2 linked regions of the Lonchura striata genome follow. The protein of the gene in region 1 purifies or fractionates together with the protein of each later gene. This does not show direct contact. Links are inferred from orthologs where the notes say so. Each region holds a gene or a part of one and is shown on either strand. Other genes may lie near its edges. The genes, in order: RNF25 and ubiquitin-conjugating enzyme E2 E2.

Region 1 (11,692 bases):
TAGAAGATATCAAATGCCTGTATGCATCTCCTGACCAAGCCACATGTGAATCATACTCCAGTGCTGAGACCCCGCTGTGCCCACCCAGCACAATCCCAGCAGCAGAACTCTTGGCAGCAGAGCCAGGGATATGTCTGGTGAAATGACACTTTTTGTGCCAGAGTGTGTACAAGGGGCTGCATCTGCCATCAGCTCAGCCAGTAAAGCCACACTAGAATGTTAAGGCCAGCAAAGGTGCTCCCTCAGAGACCTTATTTTTGTATGCAATTCCCTGCTAAAACCCCAGTGGGTGAGACAGCTTGCCCTGACAAGAACGCATCAGACCCCATAGTTAGGAGCAGGGTGCTCAGGCTGTATTCCCCCAACATACACTGACAACCCCATAACTTCTGTCCCTGAGGGCAGAGGGTGTGGAGGAGGGAGATGGGGGCACTCTTACCAGGAGGCTTTGCTGGCAGAGTCTCATCTCACTGTCAGCTGGCACAGCTAGCAGCTCCGGCAGCAGGGCCAGGAAGCAGTCAGCACTCTCCTGGATGGTCTGCAGTCTGTGGGGGGCAGCAAGGGCAGATGAGTGCAGAGAAACATGGCCCCTTGCTTTGAGGGAAGGCCCACATGGCCCTGGCTAATGGAGCAGGCAGCACACACACTGTGAGCTGCTGCCAGCAGGCAGCACAACTGGACTTGTCAACTGTGCCTTTCCTTGAATTAATCCCATTCAAGGAAAGTGCTCCTCTGTGAGCACAGCAATACAGCATGAAGTGCTTAGACCATAATGCTTCCCCACAGAGACAACTCCAGCTGCAGAGTATGAACACCACCCTTCCACCTACTGCCAGGTCCCCAAAGTGACCACACAAGACCTCAGGGAACAGGAGGTTTTCCCTACCTGTATTTTTGCCCACTCTCCTCTAGGCTACTGAAACAAACTTTGGTCACCACGAGGAGGTCTGTCAGCACAGCGATACACCAGGGCTGCTGCAGAATCCAGAAAGAAACCATAAATGGGGATTGTCTGCTGGCCATCCCCACAACTCTATGACAGGATCCTTCCCTACCAGAACCTCCCCCTTCTCAAGGATGCCTGGAAGAGGAACCAGGTCCAGCAGGACACCAGGGCCTCCTCAGCACCAGCACTCTGCAGGCGCCCACATTTCCCTGGGGTTCTACACTCACCTGCTTGGTTACACCACTTTCCAGGATCTGCTTGGCTAGACACAGCAGGGACAGAGGCACATTTAGCTCTTGGCAGAAGTGGTCCAGCAGCTCAGCATCACACCGGGTAGACAGGAGGTTGCCAATAACACGAAGCACAGAACGAAGATGGGAGGCTCCCTCCAGCATCCCTTCCAGCACCTGGACACAGAGAAGCCAGAAGAGCTTATAATGAGCAGCAATTTTGGTGTCTCCACCAGCCATGAAGCAGCCCTTCAACCCACTCAGGCAGGGGACAGCAGAGGAGCAGATGGCAAGCCAAGTGCACAAGACAGCTCCAACTCCCGGAGAAGCAGAGGATCTTTTTGCTGGCTGGGCTGAAGATTCTCCATATGTTTCCAACCTAATCTTGATAAACAAGGCAGCATCCAAGTCTCCAGTCTTAGTTGCCTGGGCCAGCAATCATTTACCTGCTGAGCAGAGGCTGCCAGGTGGTCCTGGACACGGTGCTGGAAAGCCGAGTCCCTCAGGAGGCTCAGAGGCACACTCAGCTGCATGGCTGAGGGCTCAGTGTCCTCAATCAGGTGCTGCCACTCCTCATCACTCTCCAACTCCTAGCCACAGAAGAGAGAGGACTGGTGCCACAAACCCTGCCAGTCCCAGGGTCTCTGTACCAGCCCCTGGAAACTGGGCCCTGCTGTCCTCACTCAAGACACCATCTTACCTCACTCTCCAGGTCCACAGCCTCAGTGCTGTGCCTGCTGCAGGGCTCTGCCCTGCCAGCACCAGGCTGTGAAGGGGAACCTGCTCCAAGAAACTCCCACTCACAGTCTTGAGAGAGGTTGTGCTGCCTGGCCAAGGAAACAGTACAGTCAGTGAAAGACCTTTCCTTCCCCTCTTCCTTCTCTCCCAGCCTGTGCCTCTCTCTCCCTGGGATAGGAGGAGACTCCTCAGACTCCCACTCTGCTCTGCTGTTCTTTCCTTGCAGGAGACATGGGTTCTTCTCATTGGAGACAGCCAATGGCTCCCTCTCCTCAGGGACTGCTTTCCGTGATGCTGCTCTGGGACTATGTGTGGGATGTCCATTGGCAGAAACCTTCATAGATGCATCACCTGCCTTCAGTTGCCCCTGGTGATGGCAGAGAAGTTTGGTCAGGGCAGGGTTACTCAGTCAGATGAGTCCTCTAGATTCCACTACCATAAGCACTCCACATCCTGCCTTGTGTGTTGCTGACACCCCAGCCTGACCCATGTACTCATGTGTTTTCCCCCAGGGCCCACTTCAGTGTCCTTCCTTTGCTCTGACTGTGAGACATAGCATGAGGAACCTCACACTTTACTCCACCTTTTTCTGTGTCTCTTCAACCATCTTCTTCTGGGCCTTTCTCAAGATCCTGGACTGGCTGCTCCTGGGGGCCATGGAATGTACTTGCTGCTCCTTCAGGGCCTGCAGCTCTGGAGATAGCTTGACGGTAAAGGGGTTTGAAATCCCATGCTTTTCTGTGTCATCAGTCACTGGGGAGGCAAGAGGAGAACTTCAGCAGCAGCTCTCTCTTGAGAGCGTGATCTTTCTTGAGATCCCAGGGGAATCCTAAGGAACCCAGAGCAAGACCAAGAGCAGGAGCTAGGAGTCAGTGCTTGGAAAAAGCTGAGAGGAGAGAGGCATAGACCAGGATAGTGAGAAATGGCAGGGCAGGGAGGTCCTCCCAGTCTCCAGACAGTAGTAGAAGGAAACAGACCTGGACAGTTTTGGAAAAGGACTAAGTACTTACCAGTAACCCATCCAGCAATGAAGGGGTGAGAAAGTAGCTCTGGCCATGACAGACGCTCATGGGGGTTCTTCATTAGTAGTCCCTGAAGGAAGCTCTGCAGAGCAGCGGAGCAGCAGGATCACTGACACATGTTCAGCACCCACCAGTGAGCATAGTGTACCCAATCAGTCTCCCTCACTGAGGGCACCCAGGAGGCCTGCCTTTCCTGCCTAGCTCTGGGAAAGGAGTAGCTCTAGTGCTTAGGGCAGATGGCAAGACATTTCCCTTCGTAACCCACTAAATCACTCCTCTGCTGTTGGACCCAGTTTCCCAGCTCATAGACAGCAGACATTTGATAACAGTGATAAGGATTCCCATTCCAGGAGATCCAGCTCTCATTCACACAGCTTTTCTGTGTTCTGAAGTCACTGTTAGGGGACATAAAACCTAAGAGTGACCCACCAGGGAAGCAGGTGAGGCCAAAACTGCATTAACAGATCTCACCCTGCAGACAGGGCCTCGGCCCTTACCTTGAACACTGGGCTCATGTCCACAGGCCATTTGACAGGGTCCTTGATGATGAGGCTGACAAGCTGGAAGATGCTGTTGGTGTAGAAGGGAGGAGTGCCCACAAACAGCTCATACAAGATGCAGCCCACTGACCACAGGTCTGCGGTGTGGTCATACGGCCGTTCTTCCACCAGCTCAGGGGACATGTACAGCGGGGTGCCCTTGATGGATGTCAGCACCATGGTGTGGATGCTCATGGCACGGGCAAACCTGCTCAAAGTACAGATCTAAAGTTCAGGCTGAAACATCAGTTGCAGATCTTAGGGAGCTCCCTATGAGTTTATCCTCCTCTGGAGGACAAAATCTCCCCTCTCTGCCTAATTTCTAAATATGCACAGAACCCAGGCCCTCTTCCGCACTCCTTCACTCCTCCTCTGCAGCACTCAGGAAACCCCTTGGCTGCTCCAAGCACCAGCATTCCCCTCAAGCTGGCCTCCAGCACTCACCCAAAGTCACAGAGCTTGACAACACTATCTTTTCCCAGCAGGATGTTCTGGGGTTTCATATCCCGGTGCAGGATGCGGTGGGAGTGCAGGTAATAGAGAGCAGAGATGAGCTGGGCAGCTATGGTCTGGACCTGCCAGAGACACAGAAGCCTCACCCTGTGTCCCATGGTGCCACCCGCTGGCACAACCACAGGGGCTAGGTCCCTTACAGCCTGGCTCCCACACTACTTCTACTTTTGTCCTGTTTGGGGCAGGGATCATCCCCAGCTGTGGGCCAGTAGTTTCTTGGAGTGGGTCAATAGCCATGGCAGTCTAGTGCTGTGGCCCTTGTAAAGGGAACAGAGAAACTGAGGTCTCTGCAGGACCCCACTGTCCCACAATGCCAACCTGGCCCCTTCTCGATGCTTTTCAGAAGATCTGCCAGGTAAAGTCCCAGAGGCACCCTCACCCTCCTGACACTCCTGGCTCACAGCAGAGACCCTCTTCCTGCAGGCACACAAGTCCTGTTTTCTCTAGCCTGCAGCAAACACTGCATGGCCACTGCAGTGATAGACACCTGGCTCTCAGGCAAACTCCCATCATCCTCCAGGATCTGGAAAAGCTCTCCCTCTGCATAGTCAGTCACTACCACCACCTGGAGAGAAGAACAACATGGTGAGATCAGGCCCTGGGGACCAGAACAAAGCAGGGTAACACATTTGCGGGAAGGTGTTGGGGTGCCATCATGCAAATTCCATCAGCTTGGGCTGGGACTTGGAATGGAAGAGAGCTCCCATAGCTGGCAGAGATCTTGTAGCTGTCCATATCTCAGCCAGCAAAAACAAGGGAAGAGGGAAGGACAAGACAAGCCCAGAATGGCACTGCCAAGCCCAGTGGGTAGAATCACTCCTTGAGCTTGTTTTGAATCTGCTGTCCAATTACTTTATTTCACGTTCCCATGTGCTATAGGACAGTCTTCAATCCTCTCTTATCATATTATATCCATGTGAGTTTAAATCAGTGAAAAGCCAGTCTCTGAAGAGAGTGATGAGTGAAGAGTGACCCTCATCCTGTGATCTCAAACCACTCCTCCTGCACCACACAGCACCTGGTCAGCTCCTTCACCTCTGCATATGACCTAGTGCAGCCCATACAGGTGTTGGCTCCCCACATGGCACATACTAAAGGGCTCTGAAAAACACTAACCAGAGCCTGGTATGAAGTCACCAGCATCTCTTGAGAAAGATGTCCCTACAACAGCAGGGAACAGTACTTGTTCACCTGCCCCAGTCAAGCAAAAGTCTTTGCCTGGAGTAATCCCCTTCACCTCCTTAGCAGTCTCAAAGCTGTCAAGCATCTGGATGATGTTAGGGTGATGGAGGTCTCTCACAATCTCAATTTCCCGCTGCAGGTTCTTCAGCTCCTTCTCGGACCGCCCCACCTTGGGGATGAACTTCAAGGCCACCACCTTTCAAAGCAGGAAAAGCTGGGATCAGACCAGACTCCTGGTCAGACCCACACTGGCAAAGGCTGCTTTTAACCCAAACAGGGTTCCAGCTGAACACAGACAACAGAACAATGAGACATTTGTTCACTGGGCCTTTGGACCTAGGGGTCTCCCTAGGCTCACTTATGCTCACTTAGGCTCACTGATGCTCACACCTCTTTTCACACTGGCATTTCAAGCAAAGAAATGTAACCAGTGAACACAGATAAACTTCAGAAACATGGGACAGGACCTCAAGATGCTGGTGAACAGCAGGCCTAACATGAGCCAGCAGTGTGCCCTGGAAATGAGGAACAGTAGCAGCACCCTGGGCTGTATCAACAGGCAGGAACCGCAGCAAAGTGATTACTGACCTTTATTTCTAATCTTGTGCACCATGTTGGGAATATTGTGGCCAGGTTTTTGGCCCAGAACATCAATAGGAGGGAATGGGTATAGCAGAGAGGCCCATGATGGTGAGGGGACTGAAGCATTTGGGAGGACGACATGGGAATTACAAATTGAAACGGAGGGAGGTTCAATTTGGTAGCAGAATCATCCTAGAAATAGTCAGGCATCAGCTATGGGGTGTTTGTCTTGGGGGTTTCAGAGGATCTAAATTTAGTGCTGGCTCTGCTTTGAGGTCTTGAAGTCGCTCCTGAGTCCCTTGAATCCGGATGACTTAGTGCCAGCTGGAGCTGGTCAGGAACGTCAGCAGAAAGCCGAAGGAATGCCGAGTCCCAAAATCCTGGCAGAGCCTTAGAAGCCGAGAGGCACCAGAAATCAGCCCCGGCCACACACAGCAGAGCCCCAGCCCTGTCCCCTCACCTGGGCGCTGTGCTTCCGGCGCCCCTTGTACACGCGCCCGAAGGACCCTTCGCCGATCATCTCCAGGATGTGGTAGTTCTCCATCGCTCGGGACGGGGCCGCTGAGCTGCGAGGCAAAGAGGCCAGTGCGGGGCAGCGCGTCCCCTCCCGCGGGGCTGCACCCCGCGCCCGTTCCCCCGGGCGAGTGTCGTCCCCCCGCGCCCCAGGCTTTGCTCCTACCCACCGGCGCCAAGGCAGGACGAGCCCCGAGCAGCAGCGGCAGCGACCCCGCCGCGGGACGAGCCTCGCCCCGCTCCGCCGCCGGCCCGGGCCCGCCGCCGCGGCGTCTCCTGGCAACCGGCTCGCCGCTTCCGCTTCCGGGCGGGCGGCGAGATGGCGGCGGCCGCTGGGGAGGCGGAGGCGACGGACTGGTAACAGCCCCCGAACCTTCCCCGGTCTCTGCGCCCTCCCACGTGCCCGCACCTTCCCGGCCCCCGCACCCCCGCTGTCCCGCACCCCCAGCCCGCCGGAGCCGTCTGACCCCCGCCTGCTCGGTTCCCGCAGGGCGCTGCCGCCGGAGGTGGAGGTGCTGGAGTCCATCTACCTGGAGGAGCTGCAGGTGGCGCGGGGCCTGGGCAGGTACGTCCCGCGCTCCCCATCCGCGGCCCGGCCCCGCGCCGCCCTCCTCACCCCGATCTGCCCGTTCTGCAGGTGGGAGCCTTGGGAGATCAGCATCACCCTGTACCCTGCCACGGCCCAGGACCAGGACTCGCAGTACGTGCGCTTCACCCTGGTGCTCTCCGTGCCCCCGCAGGTAGGCTGCCCGCGCCCCCCGGGCCCCCGCACCTCCGAGCCTCGGGCCTCTCCACCTTCCTTGTTGTGCTTTGGCTGTTTCTCTTTTATCCTAGTATCCTGATAAAGCTCCGGAGATCTCCATCAGGAATCCGCGGGGGCTGTCAGATGAGCAAATTCAAAAGTGAGTGGCAATTCTTTCCTCCCGAGATTCAGGAGGCAGAACTGATGGACAAGCCTTCTCTAATTCACATGACTTCCTGTGTCTGGTTAACATATGGATACAGGTCCCTAAATCACTTTGTCCTAAATCTTTCAGGAGCCACTGGTGCCGAATTTGACACAGAGGGGTCCACCTTGTGGTTATTACCCTGTGGTTCCCCTCAAATCTTATTGGAATCCCTGGGGCCTTGAAAGTTGCTGGTCCTGCCCTGACAGATGTGGGATTGATCCGAGTCCTTGGGCAGCCCGTTGTTGTATTTGTGCTTTGGCCCTTGGCACAATGGAATGTGTGCAGAGACCTTGGTGCCTGCCGGCAGTACGAGAGGACATGGCTCCCAACAGACCTCCTCAGGGGCTGCTGTCAGATAAACAAAACCTGGGATTCACCAAAACCAAAGGTTGCTGGTTGAGCTCAAGCTGAGGCTATCAGCAAACCTGCTCCTGCAAGTTCTGTAATAACATAGGCTTCCTGTGCACTGGCTTGTGGTGAGCCAGGAACACACATGAATACATGTGTGCTCATCCTGTACTCCATGCAAAGCCTGAAGACCGTGCTCCCTATTTTCCTCCCGTCATCATGGCAAGTACGTGGGACAGTGAAAAGTGTGGCTAAATTTGTGTTAAGGATTTCTGCTGCTTTGCTGTAGGATTTCCCAGACCCTCAGAAGTGTTGCTGAAGCCAGGCTGGGGACAGAGGTGCTCTATGAACTGATTGAGGTGAGAGTGAGGAGATTGGGTGTGACCAGCCACAGACACTGATCCCTGACTTCCCAAGGGGTGGGACATCCCTGAGCCCATGGACAGGCCAGTGAGTAAAATGTTTGCTTTAATGTTTTCACAGAAGGGAAAGGAGATCCTCACTGACAACAATATTCCTCAAGGACAGTGTGTAATCTGCCTCTATGGATTCCAGGTAGGCATGTGTCTCCTGACCCCACAAACTGACTGGGAAGTGAGGCAAGAGAACAGGAAGTCTGACACTGGGATATCAGCCTGGGACCAAGATGTACACCAGCAGCCCACTGCCTCCCATTCTGCACAGGGCCCTTCCTAGTGCAATACATGCTGCTCTTCCCATAAATTTCTAGATAATCTTCTACAGAAAATGGACGTAGGGCAGCAAGAGATGCTGGAGCATCTCCAAGGAAGTGTAGGCTCTGGGGCTAGTTGGTGATGCATTTCAGCTTCCCTGTGTTGGCTACACCTCACCATGAGTTCAGCACACAGGTGGTCAGGAGGGACTAGAACATATCTATCCAGGTGCTAAGGTCTGTGGGGATAGGGGAGCAGGCCTTACCAGATTGCAAGGGAAGTCAACACCTGCCTAGGAAGGAGAACACATCAAGTGGGAAGATTGCTGGTTACACAGGAACACATACAGAAAAATCAGTCATAAAATCTTTGCATATTGACATTAGGAGTGTTTCTAACATTTGAAACAAGAAGCAGCATCCCAGTAATTGCTGAAGGAGTGGAGGTGCAGCCCAACAGATGATGCTGGGCGGCTCTGCTAGCACTAATTCCCCATGGATACCACTGACATGAAAGTGAAAACCCAGCTCAACTGTGTGGTTGCACAACTCTTTGCATAGAAATCCTTCAAAGATGCCCTTTTCTCTTGACAGGAGAAAGAAGCCTTCACAAAGACCCAGTGCTACCACTACTTCCACTCCCACTGTCTGGCCCGCTACGCCCAGCACATGGAGGAGGAGATCCTCATGCAGCAGGAGGAGAGAGGGCAGCACCTTGCACCATCCCCTAAACAGGTACTGGGCCTCCTTCCTTGGCCCCCTGCACAGACCCTTTTAACATCTGTATCACCCTCTTTGGCACATGGAGCCTGTGCTGAGAATCACAGGGATTAGACTAAGTTATCTCCAAGGGCCCTTTCTGACCAAACAAGTTGGTTTATTGAATCTCTGGGACAGTGCCTGCTGTGTGAGGGGGTAAGGCAGTTGCATTTTTAGACTTCTGCAACCACAGAAGTTAGAAAAAAGGGCTCGCTCCTTCCCTAGTCCTAATCCTTGTCCTTGAACTGTGGGGGGTTGCAGCAGAGTAAACACAAATCACCTGTGTTTTGGGGTGATAATACCTGCCTAGCATGGGTTGGAACAGTTGTCAGCTGCAGAGCAAACAGCACAGCTGAGTATGGAACAATCAAAGACTCCTTCCCACAAACCCTTCCAAGGAGGTGCTGCCTTGATGACACACTACGCTTTGGAGCACAAAAAAATACATCCTAGGCTGCGGGCTGAAGCCATATGTGTTGACAGGGGTGCTTTGTAAAGCAGTCAGCTGCTGGAGTACAAATCCCAGCATGTCTTATATGGAGACACCTTCCATAGCAGTTGTTGAGACACCAGGCTGCTTTCATGCTGCTGGAACCCCTCTGGGCTTCCTTACCTTGGCAGAAGAGTGAAGAAGACAACCCTGTTTCACTTCCAGGGTGGGGTTATGGGGCAGTGCATGAGCTGGATCACAGACAGGGTTTGCTATCATCTTTTGCCTCTCCACAGGAAGTTGGTGTGCAGTGCCCTGTCTGCCGGGAGACCCTGGTTTACGATCTCTGTGCTCTGAAGGCAGCACCGCCCCCGCAGCACCCTCTGGTAAGAGATGGGGGCTCACCTGCCCAGCTGTGCCCCCTCACTGGGTAGCTTCAACTGGGACATTGTAATGCATGCACACTCTCTATCAAGTCCTCCTAGATTGCCTATTCAAAGGGCAGCTCACAGAGCAGGTTCAGTTTGATAGCCCTGAGTTGAGCAGATGTGCTGAGGGAGAGGTGGTTCTGCCATGGGGAACATCCCTGCACTCACTGGGAAACAATCAGGTCAGGAGAGTGACCTGATAGCAGCTGCTTTGCATCCTGCCCCACAGCAGGATGGCCCAAGGCAGTCACTGCAGAAACAGTGGGTCTGCACTGGGATGCTTGGCTTCTGTTCAGGGATTTCCCATTCATCTGCAGACCTGGTCAGTGTGGCAGAAAGAAGCAGGCTGCCTGGCACTGTGCAAAGAAGGGTTTGGGGAGTAGCTCCCAGCCCTGCCACTGCCTATCCATGCTAGGTTTTGAGAGAGCCCTTACCTTGCCTTGCTTTCTTCTGCTCAGGAGCCATACAGGCCAGATGCCAAGGTGCTGCAGCACCAGGAAGAACTGCGCCTGATTTTCAAGAGACAGCAAGAGAAAGGGGGAATCATCGACCCTGAGGCAGAGAGGAACCGATATTTCATCAGCCTCCAGGCGGTACGGCACTGGGGGCAGAGAGCTTCTGAGGGGGCTCTGGGCTACAGGACCAAGCACTGTCATCTGCTGTGGGACACCCCTCTCCTTTTCTTAACCAGTAGCTTTTTTCTTTCAGCCTCCAGCTGCTGTGGATACAGGCCAAGCAGCCACTGCCTCTGAGCTGTCGGTGAGTGCCCGTGCTGCGGACGTGCCCCAGCCGTCCAGCCAAGCCTCGGCTCCCGAGCCAGCAGGGGCGTCAGAGGCCAGGGTGGAACCCGGGCAGCCTGAGAGATGTGCTGTGCCCAGAGAGCAGCTGAGCAAGAGGGAGAGGCACAGAGGGGAGAGGCCAGGCTCCAGAGGCCGGGGCAGGCAGCTGTGCAGTAGCTTGCAGGAACCAGGAGAGGAAGCCTGTCATCCACTCCACAGCTCCAGGGGGCCCAGGGTCTTCAGCCAGAGAGCAGAGCATAGACCTGCTGGACGGCACAGCCAGTTTTCAAAGCCTCCCAGTAGAAGCAGGGCTGCTCCCTTGGCTGAAAGAAGGGAGCTGTGCCGTGAAGACCCCTCACCAGCAGCAGAAACTGTGGACTTGAAAGAGGAGCACCATGACATGGAAAAATGGAGCACAGAGGAGGGGACTGAGGCCCGGGGCAGGAAAAAGGAGAACCTGATGTTCAACCGCAGTGACCACAAAGCTGCCCCCAACTGGCAGGGCCACCATAGGCCCTGGGATTGTGGAAGATGGGAGAGGTCCAGAGTTCAGGAGCATGGTTCCTACCCCAGAGCACCAAGAGGGCGAGGGGCGTTCAGGCCCAGTGGACATCAAGAAGCCCATCTTGAGAAGGAGAGCGGCTCCTAGCAGGAATGATGAGGGGCTGGGGGAATAAAAGGGCTATTTCTGGAGAGAACGGATGAAGGATCTGATGAAGCAGTAGCAAGCAGATACTGTACCCCTGGAAGGGGGGAGTCAGATGGCACATGGGACAGGCAGTGTCACCAGGGTTTGTGCAGTGTAAAGCATCATGGCATGAGCAGCTGGTTGTTACCAGCATTGGAGACATGGAACCTTGACAGATCATATCAGCCTTGGTCTCAGAGGACCCAGGTGACAGAGGTAGCTTTGGGGACCTGCAGCTATTGTCCCTGTAGGTGAAATGCCAAGAAACATGCACACCTACAGAGCAAAGCGTCTGAGCCCAGCATGGTGCCATGGCAGAGCCAAAGTGTGGCAAGACCTTCCCTGGAAGCCAGTGGAGCTGTGGTGGTGCCA
Region 2 (11,499 bases), on another chromosome or scaffold:
CAGGTTCTGCCTAGACCTATGGGCAAGATATTCCATTTATTCCCTGCCATAGTTACCACCAAGGATGAGACTAAAGATATTTGACTTTTTCTTCTTTTCTTCATCCTCAGACTTAGGCCCTGGCAGCTGCTTTATTGGCACCAGTTGTGTATAAGAGTCCATAAAGCAGAAGGAATAATTTAGGTTTATCAAGCTGCAGACATTCCCCTTCATCCCTTCCAATTACAGCAGAGATCAGGCTCTTTGGCTGGGATTTTCAGGAAGCAAGTACAAAATGTGACTAGTCTGACTTATTAGTTCAGGGGACTTCCACTTCACTGGGGGAATCCCCGGTAGAGAACATGCGGGTATTTTCCACCGTATACGAGGCAGACAATCTGCTTCAGATTGATTGTGGTCCTCTGGGTTCCTGAAATTTATTTGGTCACTCTTATTGAAGGGACTGAACAAGCCTGCTTATGGGGTTTGGTTTGCTGTGGAGGATGCAGAGCCTACTCCCTAGGCATGCATTAATAATGCATTAAACATAGAGAACATTAGCCCACATTCTTCTGGAACCTTAACTTTATTAAAAGGGAACATGAGTGCCCACGGCTTCTTTTTCAGTGTAAAGATGTAACTTTCCCAACAGAACCACAAGAGATCCTCAGAATTTTACCCATCTTTAATCAGAAAACCAAGCTCTGATTCTGTGAATTAAGATATTACGAAACCAACAGAAAATAATAGGAACGCGGAGGTGCTGAAGAGAGTGTGGAAGTAACAACTAAAACACCCCAATTTTCTTTTCTAACCTATCTTCACTTTTCAACATTCTCTCCCACATATGGTGATGAATTAAGACAGGCAATGCAGGGAATTCTTCCAGTTACAGGTCAGTGCATTACAATAGCTCTGGAAATAAAGATTTTTCCCTTCAGTACATGCAATATGAGATTTTTAAAGCAGTGGCTATGTCTAGGATTTAGTTGTCAACAATTTCTGTGTAGAAACTATCACAGAATTATCCTATGCAATTACTTGCACTTAGGCTCTAACTGAGGCTCTAAACCAGCACATAGAAACGAACCTCTGTTCAGGACATTATGCAGTTAATTTATTCCCTCCCTACCTTAAACAAAAATACAGGCTTTCATTAAGGACACGGAAGCAGGTTATTACCTCCCTCCTACCCACTCCTAATATGTTTTATCTTTATTCTTTACAATCCTGGATAGCAAAGCAGCTGAGAGCCACCAGGATTTCTGATGCCACACGGTTATTGTCTCAGTTGTTTGTTCTGGTTCCAGCCGAATGATAGTGGGAGCTGTTCTGCTTCTGAGCAAAGGGGAGGAGGAGCTGCAAATTCTTCGTTTTTTAGGCTGGAATGAAAGAGACCTTAAAAGCTGTTTGCCACACAACTTACAACTCCTTTTGTATTTAATGGCCTGGAAATATTAGAGTGAATAAATGCTAATGATTTGGGGGTTTGCAGTATTGTAGAGCAAATAAAGAAGTCAGGCTAGCAGTAACTTGCCTCTGTGTTCACACAATCATTTTACTTCAGAATGCCATGAAAATAATTTAAACAGACTTCTGTCAAGGCATTGTTTGAACAATAGGCTTACTTAGTTTTCAGGATTCAATCAATGTTTTCCTTGATATAGGATGCCATTTTTTATATGATGAGGACATACACAATTAACTGAAAACTCTTAAGTAAATTTCTGCTGCAGATATCTTCCTTGCTATGCCACTTTATTCTACACGCTGATAGAAGAGAAACAAAAAGAAGAATCCTTATCTCTGAATCACTCAGAAACTGCATTTTCAAACACAGCTGGCACTTCAGAGATCAGGGTACCTGTGAATTTCAGTTTACATTTGCCAACAGACAGAGTAGGATTCATCCATGCAGCAACAAAAGCAAAGTACAATTGTAGAAAAAAAAAAAAATAGATATAGTGTGAGAATAAACTATCTACAAATAGGAGAAAGAGAATTACCAAAGAGGGAAAAATAGACAACAGGCTAGATCCTCTGAATGGTCCTCACAGATTTATGTCATCATAGTAGTTTAAGGAAAACCAGCTATGGGAGAAGAATCCTGGAACAGCATGAAGCTACTGCAGAAACTCCTCATTCTGTGCTCAGGATGGAGAACCAGACTGGGAAAGAGAGGACCTGCTGCTGAGAGCTGCCTGCTGTCCACTATCCAAACAGCCCCACAGGGCCCAACTCCTAGCAGGGGAGGGATGGGGGGAACAACACAGGCTTCAACAGCTGGAGCTGGAATCAGGTAAGAAATGAATAAAGGCACCTTTGTCCCCATTCCTCCAAACTTCTGCTGATAATAGTTCAGATGGATTAAACAAACTGGCTCATTAGGACTTGGCTGAAAAAGATTGATGTAACAATCAGACACATCATGGACAAGTTAATATTATCATCTCACTTTTTAATATAAAATAATAAAGTTTTGAAAGAGAGATATGCTGTCACAAGAGAGATAGTTATGTCTTCACCTATACCACAGCTGAGATGATTTCTCATCTTTTCTCTACCTTAGAAAATCAAACCCTTTTTTCTAGTTACTACTTGACAATAGCGTTCATTCAATGACTTTAACAGTGATATAAAAACATGTCCTTTTAAATGGGAATGAACAGTAATGCATAAATAGAAATGCAGAAAAAACTCAAAAGTTGCATTTTCCTATTTCTTTTCTTGACATGGAACGATATTTCCCTGTTTTTTTAACTAAACAGAAATGGATAAGACTCACTGTAACTGAGTACAGCTCTCAGTATAGCAAAAAAAAGTTTAAAAACCTGAAAAATTTAAATAGATCTATTACTTCTTTAAATTAAACACTTCTAAATGGAAACTTTGCTCAGGTTTCTCCAACTTCATAGATTTTGACTGACATATCTGCCCTTGTAACAGACACTCAAATCAAGAACCCTTAACAAAAGTGTCCTTAACCATAATAGTTTTAAAGCATGACTGCCTGTGCTAGGTGAGATGAACTCTGGCGTGTCTCCACAAGGAAGCTCCCAGTCTCTATGAGAGTAAAGAACTCATGTTGCTTGCTTTAGATGTGTCTGGTGGTGTAAATAGTGTCAGCTTTTAGAAACCAGACAAAGCCAAACATGGAGGGAAAAAAAAAAAAAGTGTAACTGTGTGCCTTAGCACTCCAGCATGGGTGAAATCTAACACTGAAGTATTGCCACTCACTTCAAAAGGGCCAGAATTCAACCTATAGAATCCAAATTTAGAAAAGTCTTCAAAAGATTTTGAGCAATATTATGCCACCTTTAACATCTGAGGGCAAAACACGTTATTTTGAAAGGTCAAAAGGATAAAAGCGGGAGCAGCTGACTACCCTGCCCTACTCTCTTTACACTACATAGGTAGGGCTCATTCAAAACCTCTGCTTTTAAAACAGGGCACACCTCAGTGTGTATTTTCTATTCATAAGGCAGTACAAACCTGCCTAGTTTAGTTGTCCTTAAATTAAGCCCTACCATTCAGGGCTCTGGGCCAGAGGTCAAACACCAAAAGAAGAAATCAGGGCCTGACTCGTGATGACTCAAACCTCTCACTCGGTGCTCAAACACTCCAGCGCTCCCTTGATTATTTTGGCATTGGGAAATTATGACCCAGATTCTGGGACACTGTATGGCCCCATCCTGCCCCTGTCTCAATTAGGCTATTCACTCAGCTTTTCTCTCTGTGCTTCCTGCAAATCCTAGCAGAAAAGATCTGTAATGAAGCACCATGAACTGCCACCAAAGAGAGACCTCCTGAGATGGGCTGAGGAGTTAAGACAGATCAATGTATGCCTCCTTTTAAGGCACCCTTAAGCCATCAGAGCAACATTAAGGAAGTATGGTTAGAAGAATCATTTAGAATTGAATTTTATCACTTCCTGGATAGCTTTCAGGGGGTCTGTTTTCAAATGACTGAAAGGAGAAAGCATGGTTTAAGTGATTTTAGAAAAGGGAACCATGATGTCAAAAGTGTACAATGCACCTTTCAGCACAATGAGTAACATTACTTGCTGGAGGTTTGCATTTTTTGAAGGACTTTTGCACTTCATATTCTATTAATTACTTAATTATTAATTCTTCCGAGAAGTCAATGTATGCTTAGCAGATAGAAACCCACCTAGATGACATTAGGAGCTTTTCTCCATCACAAGCAAGAAAATATCTTGTAAATGCACACGGAATAGGAAGAACTAGCTGACTGTGGTATTTTTAGGTTTAGGTGAAAATAACACTGGGATTATTTAGCAAAGAAATAGGAAGAGGAAATAAACCAAATAATTTAAAAACAATTTCTCAACAAAGAAAATTGTTGATGTTCAGGGTAACTGCAGAAATCACTTCAGTTATCTGGATATAATACGAGAGCAGGTATCAATGATGTTTCTAACCCTAATATATCTCAGTAATGCTTCAAGTTCTCAACTTCTGTATGTTTGGTGGCACAGGCTCCACCTACACCTCAAGCATAAGTCAATAAAAATACAACGCTTCGCAGTTCAAGCAGGGAAAAACTTTTCCTCCTACATGTGGAATGGTGAGAACACATTTTATTTTTTTAATCCCCTTTAGTTGTTGTTATGTGTAACATAGATAATTTGTGCCTGTAGAATGATAATGATGTAATGTTTTGTATTATTTAAAAAAGCATACCAGCCGGTACTAGGGGGTTTGCCTCACATATGTTGAATCTGTCTCTGATAAGACCTCATTACAAGTTAATACATGTAGTTCATCTGGAGATGGGTTGTTTCTCAACGTAATCCAGGAAATCCCGAGTGATGATGGTCCCAACAACAACCCAAGACTGCAATCACTGGAACCACCCAAAAGGATACATCTCAATACCATGTTCCCTTCCTGGACACCGAATTGTTCAACTCAGCATAGAGAAAAGAGACTTTATGAATATGTGGGACTTTGAATGGAAAGAAAAGGCTGATCACTGAAATCCTGGCCTCGAGCAAAATAAACCATATAAAAGTTGCTCGCACAGAACAGGTGGTGCGAAACATAGGGGGATCCTCTGCTGTAGCGGTCAGCACCACTTCCCAGCTGTCTGACCCAGCGCCGATCCCGGGCTCGGCACTGTCCGTTTCTTTGTGGCTGGCTCAGACAGATTTCAATTGCTAAATAAAATCAATTTTTATTTTTAATTCGGCTGGATTAATTTTTTATCTATAGCAGTTATTAAAAAAGGGAAAACATTTTGACTTGGCAATACCTCTTTACCCTTGGCTGGTAGATTTCCCTGTTTAAGGAAGAAAGGTTTGAGGTGATAGTTTACATAACATACCTAAGCATATTATGTAAAGATTAAAGCAGCAGGGTCGGCACAGGGACAGAAGTGTCTCACTCGCCCAGCGCAGTCCGGGTTACCTGACAATCAGTTCTGCTGGAGGTTTGTTTTGTTCCAGGTTAATATTCGCACTAAACAACTAACATTTAAGTGCGGCTCTGCCTTGGCCTCTCCCATTCCTGACCGCGATGCTTTCCACAGAGGCAATGCCCGCCTGCGTGGGAGGTGAGGTTCATTTACCTGGCCACAATCGGGCGACAGCGCCTATCTCCAGCCGGGATACCGCACGTCACCGGGGCCGCCGGCGGCCCGGGGCGGTTTGTGCCCCGGGCTGTGCTGATGCCACGGCGGACAAAACTAGCGCGGTAACACAGAGTGTGGCCACCAAGTGCCGAGGCCCGGGCCCTCCCGCAGGCCGGCCGAGGCACCGCGTGCCCCGCACCGCCCCTCCCCAGGTACCGCGCCGCTCCCCGCCCGGGGCAGCGCCGCGTCCCGCCGGCGGCTCCCTCCGGCTCCGCCGAGACAAAGGCGCTGGGGAGCTGCGGGCCGCCGGGACCGGGGAGGGGGCGGCGGAGGGGGCCGAGGGGAACAAAGGAGCCGAAAAAGACGAGAAGAGCCGAGAAAGTTGATGCCGGCCTCCGCCGCTCCCTGCCCTGTCCCGGCCTGCCCCTTCCACCTCCCGGACTTTCGCGTGGGGGCCCACGGCAGCCCGGCGGCGGCAGGGAAAAAGGCCGGGTACCCTCACCTCCATCCCCCCCGAATCCCTGGCCAAAGGTCCCGGCTCACCCCATCCCCTCCCGCCGCCTCCTCCTCCTTCTTCCTCTGCCCCGCTGACCCCGCCCAGCCCCCGGTGCTTCCCTTTAACGCGCGCTCCCGCCGCCGCCTCTTGCCCCTCCCCCCTGCCCGGCGGCGCGCGGCCTCCGCCGGCCCCCGCGGACGCGCGCCCGCCCGCGCGCCCATCCCGTCACTTCCCCCCCCGCTCCCCCGCCGAGGCCGCGCGCGCCCCCGCCCTCCCGCCCCTCCCTCGGCGGCCCGCGAGCGCCCGGAATAATTGGCTGGCGGGCGCGCGCGCGCGCGGCGCCGGGCGGACGGGTGGGGGCGCGCGCGCGCGCGGAGGCGGCGGCGGGGGTGCGCGCGCGCGCGCGGCAGCGGCTTCACTTCTCTCCGGGCAGCGGGGGCAGGAGCGGCGGCGGAGGGAGAAGCAGCCGCGGCCGTCGCTGCTGCTCGGGAGAGACGGCAAAGGGGAGAGGAAGCCGAGAGCGAGGAGCGCGGGGCAGCGGGCTCATGACTCACTGAGCGGCTGCAGCCCCTTTCCAGCCCCGCGCCCGGCCGGAGTCGGGGCGCCCGCGACGGATTGTCCCGCAGCCTGTGCCCGGCACCAGCGAGAGAGAGACCTGCGCTCGCCTGCAGGTAGCAGCGGCTTCCCCCCCGTCTCTGCCGGGGTACACCTACCTCTGCCCCGCCTGAGCTCCCCGTCCTCCTCCCCTCCCCCCGCCGGGCTCCTACCCCCATGTCGCTCGCCATCCCTCCCCCACGGCAGCACCCTCTCCCCCGCATTTATCTGCGATCCTCGGTCTCTACCTTTATCCTTCATCTTCCCTCCCTTCTCCGCATCCCCCTGGTGCTGCCTGGTACCCCCTTGCCCCCCTTGTCATCCTCGGCTGTGCCCTTTCCTAGCAACCGTCCCGGCCGCCCCCCCCGCCGCCCCCGGCCACCTCGGCATCTCTGGAGGCGCTCCTCGCTCCCCCAGGCTCCATCCAGCCTCCATTGCTCCTCAGCACCCCCACACCCTTTCAGCAACTCTTCCGTGTCCATTTGTCCTGCTCGCCCTGCTGCGGGCGGGAGCGGCGACCACCCCCGCTCCCCACCACCCCTCCGGCCCCGCTCCGCATGGTCCCCGCGGCACTCTCTGCGCCCCTGGGGGGCCGGGGTACCCCCTGCCCCCCACCACGATCGAGCCTCCTGGGATGCGCTACCCCCACGCCCCCCGCCGCAGCGGTGGGCACCCCGGGCTGGAGCCCCCCGGGAAGGGCACTACCCCCCCCACCCCCGCGCCCCAAGGAGCCCCGCAGCCCAGCCCTCTCCCTTCTCGCATGTGCCCCCGACGTCTTCCTCTCGCAGTCTCCTCCTCCTCCTCTCCTCGGTTGTCTCCTACTTCTCACCCTAGCCCGGCCGCCGCCCGCGCGGCCGTGGGAGTGCGGGGGGTGCGTGGTTCTGGGGATGCTCGCGGCCCCCACCCGCTGCCTACGGCGGGGGATTCCCGACGGGAGAGTCGCTCCCGTGCCCACGCGCGGCCGTGGGAGCCCGGAGCTGCCGTCCTGTCCCATCCCATCCTTCCGGGTGCCCTTCTCAGCGGCGAACACACCGGGCTCTTTCTGCCTCCCGTCCCGCGATGCTGTGGTCTTGCCCTTTATGGTTTCTAATGAAGATGAAGTAAGGCGGCTGCTGCCATTGCTGCTCGTGGTGGACCCTGCAGAAATACTCAATTTATCTTGGCTTATAGGAAATTACGAGCGCTTTAGAAAGACATCATCACTAGCTCTGCCGCCCTTGGGACCCATCTGCACGTTGCCAGGATCTTGCTGTTCCCGACTGGTGGATTTTTTTTTTTTTTTCCTGGCGTGTGATATCTGATAATGACTGGTGGTTTGGGGTATTTTTGTCTTTTCTTTTTTGTTGTTGTTTTTGGTTTGTTTGTTTTTATTGTTGGTTTGTTATTGTTGTTGGTTTGTCTGTTTTTATTGTTGTTTTTTTTTTTTTTTTTTTTTTTAGTTTGAGGAGGAAAGGGAAGGTGCCCGTGGATATATTTGACAAAAGCAAAATATTTTGGATGCCCTTCACTTTGAATTGATAGTTGTAGTTACACTTGTAATCTGTCTCGGTGCTGATTCATCTCACGTTAAGGGAGAGACTTTTAAGTCCCCTTTCATTCCTTCCTCTGTCCCCTCTGCTCATTTTTCTCTGCACAACAGCAGGGAGGTTAGCAACCCTTGTCTGAATGTAGAATAGCCTGGCAGCCAGGAACCTGGACATCGTGTGTCTTTCCTCTTGCCCTGTGTGACAGTTGCAAACACACTTATGGCTCTTCAGATTCAAGGATTATCTTGTATTTCTGTCTGTGTTGGTGGCAGTGAAATGTTTTCTTCACAGTGTCATCCTCTCAGTTGACTTTTTTTACCCCAGTCTCTTACTTGGTCATATGTTTATGTGTCTTTTAAGTTTGACCCCATTAGAAATGTTTAATTTCAGGCCCCTTAAAGCATGGTTTTAATGCAATTTTGAGCATCCTTTGAGCAAAACTCCCTAAAATTGCAGGTATTTTGAGGAGAGTGAATAGAAATAATTGCCTGGATGTCAGAAGGGGGAACAGAGACAGAAGGAGAAAGGGGGGAAAAAAACATCCAAAACCCAAATCTCCCCCCCACCCCTGCCAGAAACTAGCCAGACATCAAATGACAGATTTAAACATTTTCCTCTTGTAAATGCTGGTGTTACATGTTACAGTAATTATATGCTCTGGGCTACTGTTACAGTATTTATCTGCTGGATAGTAACCTGAACTTAGGAAGTGAATACAGTTGTTTTTTGGATAATAGTAATATTTGTAGCCAAGATTATTCATAGCAGATGTCCTATGCATATAAGTATTATTAAATATGCTTTTAACTTTCTGGCCTGCAGTGTTGAAGCCTATGTACATTGTGAAGAGAGAAATTTTCTCTTTAAAATTAGATGTATTAAGCAAGGTCAGAAGTAAAATCTAGGGCAAATAAAGGCCAACATAAGTGTTATAAAAAGAGATGAGGTTTATGTAGAAGTCAGGAAAATGGGTACTTACTACCAAAATTGCATTAAAGTTGCATATTTTGACTTGTCAGAATGTGACACTTTTGTTGTTTATTACCTCTAAGCATTCTGCTGCTTTACCTTGAAATCACACAATAGGATTTAAATATCTGAACATCAGTCTGCGTAAATTTATGGACTATGTTAAATGTATTGTTACAGCTGTACTGTAGGAGAAATTGTTCTCTAGGAGTGGACAATTCTTATGTTTTAATTTTAGGGCAGAAATTCTAGATTATTTCAGTTACTTTAATGAGCAGGTTAGGTCTTGTGTGTTTATATATATTTAGATGCAAAAATACTATTTTCTGTTATAAAATCAAAAATGCAGCTTAAGCGATGAAGGGAAACTTTAGTCACATATTCATCACTTGGTATTGCTTGCTGTTTCTTTTAATGCATAAACATTTTGAAGGGGTGCCATACTTCCAGAATTCTTTTTCAGTATAGCTTCACAAGATAGATGAAAAAGACCTAATTCCTCCTGAAGTTAGTTGGATGTGTCAATAATGCCTGAAGAGATTATTTCTTCTGCTCCATAGTGTGTATTATTTGATAGAATTAGATCTTGGCAAGGTTTTTTAGTATAGGAGTAAATTTATTTCTATTTTGTAACAAGAACACTTAGGCCTTTTTAAAAAGCATCCTTTTCAACATAACCCTATTAGCATTGATATTAATTTACTTTTCCTTTGCTGTCTCTTTCCATAAATATGTACAGGGAGATGAACTTTGTTTAATACATAGAACAAGCATGGTTGAATCTGAGCCTGAAATCTCATTATTCTCCCTTGAGCGAGTCTTAAAACACATAATAGTCAAGGTGAATAGGTTTGTTCTTAATTGTGATGATGTCTGTACATAGGTAAGAGGAAAAGCGAGTCGAAGTTCACAGCAATTTGAAACTCTTTGTGTATGAAAGAGCAAATTCTTAGTTCAGACAGATTTGATCAGAAAACCACCCAGATATACAGGGATTGTGTGGGTGTAAGCAAGTTAACATTTGGGCCTGTCTACTTTTTATTAAAAATCTCTAGAGAAGGATATGTAACACAGGTGTATAAGGTACAGATTTGGTGTTAAAGGAAAGACCTGGGTTTCACTTTGGTTTTAATTTGGTTTTGGCTTTGTTGGTTTAGGTTTTTGGGTTTTTTTTTTTGTTTTTTTTTTTTTTTTTTTTTTTTGTTTGTTTGTTTGTTTGTTTTGGTTTTTTTTTTTTTAATCAGTTAGTGCCACCAGATATGCTAATTCAGTAAGAGTTTTTCATGGACATCTGCCCTTCATTAGAACAGTTTGAGAGTTTGAGATGTCATGACAGCTGTAACAGCGGGCTTGTAATTCCTCATCTGTTGGCGTATTGTTATACTATTTAAAATGAAGGAAGAAATTAAAATAGCTAACTAGTATCAGAAGTGTGCAAATAAAGCATCAACTTGACTTCTGAAATATGCTGAGATTTCTTACGGCTCATATTCTCTGACAAGTTTGTTGCCTCATGTTGCCTGAATGAAATGTCAGGAAAAACTTTGTTATATCCTCTACCAATGTGCTCACTATTTTAGTAAATACAAACAGTCCTGTGTTAAAGCTTTTTAGTTCTGTGTTTCCATCAAGCATGCCAAGATGTGGATTTTGTAATGTGGAAACCCACATTGTACACTTGGAATGAGCCCACAAATTTATTTCATATGGGATAACAGAGAGTCCTAAGATACTAATAACTCTCCGTTTTTAGCTAGCTGTGGTAGATATGAACTGGTGGCATAGTTGATGGGACAGCTAACTCATGCCACTGCTGAGTGGTTGAAAAACATAATTCACAGTGAATGGTTTTACACTTTCAGGATTATGTTTCCCACTTAACTTCAGTAACTTCTGGTTTTCATACATATATATATGTGTTTGTGAAGAGTTTGGCAGGGGGATTGGTTTGTGTGTTTGTTTGTATTATTTGTTTGTGGGTTGGTTGGGATTTTTGGGGGGGTGGCAGTGGTATAGGGTTTAAAATTGCCAGTTCCTGAATTATTGTTAAGATGTTTGTGGCAAAAACTCTTCAGTATGAGGATTATTGAACTACTGTGATATAAACATTATTTTGTTAGGACAGAGACATATATCCCATGTGTTCTTTCCTTAAGCATGTAAGAAATACAATGAGGCAGTTGCTCCTCAAAAAACTAACTTCAGTTGTTTGTCTTTGTTCAGTGCAGCATCTGCCATGTCTACAGAGGGGCAGAGAGTGGATGATAGCCCAAGCACTAGTGGAGGTAGCTCTGATGGAGATCAGCGTGAAGGTGCTCAGCAGGAACAAGAAAGGGAGCAAGT

Evidence for each region.
Region 2: the proteins of RNF25 (region 1) and ubiquitin-conjugating enzyme E2 E2 purify together in Homo sapiens (affinity purification with mass spectrometry; 3 studies listed by BioGRID and IntAct, counting the BioPlex papers as one, with this or other methods). This does not show direct contact. The link is inferred for Lonchura striata from reciprocal best matches to the Homo sapiens genes RNF25 and UBE2E2.

Annotation. Positions count from the first base shown.
Region 1 is NC_134610.1:15,673,087-15,684,778, reverse strand, and holds the start of RNF25 (E3 ubiquitin-protein ligase RNF25), read left to right. Parts: upstream 1-6,574; 5' UTR 6,575-6,584; coding exon 6,585-6,622; intron 6,623-6,755; coding exon 6,756-6,830; intron 6,831-6,902; coding exon 6,903-7,005; intron 7,006-7,099; coding exon 7,100-7,167; intron 7,168-7,830; coding exon of another isoform or gene 7,831-7,852; coding exon 7,853-7,922; intron 7,923-8,046; coding exon 8,047-8,118; intron 8,119-8,830; coding exon 8,831-8,971; intron 8,972-9,721; coding exon 9,722-9,811; intron 9,812-10,311; coding exon 10,312-10,446; intron 10,447-10,561; coding exon 10,562-11,281; 3' UTR 11,282-11,692. Other genes in the region: STK36 (serine/threonine-protein kinase 36), read right to left, coding at 440-545, 887-975, 1,174-1,353, 1,623-1,766, 1,877-2,281, 2,498-2,667, 2,925-3,018, 3,434-3,683 and 4 more. UniProt on the Homo sapiens protein: E3 ubiquitin-protein ligase that plays a key role in the RNF14-RNF25 translation quality control pathway, a pathway that takes place when a ribosome has stalled during translation, and which promotes ubiquitination and degradation of translation factors on stalled ribosomes.
Region 2 is NC_134603.1:119,107,227-119,118,725, reverse strand, and holds the start of ubiquitin-conjugating enzyme E2 E2, read left to right. Parts: upstream 1-6,449; 5' UTR 6,450-6,738; intron 6,739-11,379; exon of another isoform or gene 11,380-11,384; 5' UTR 11,385-11,392; coding exon 11,393-11,499.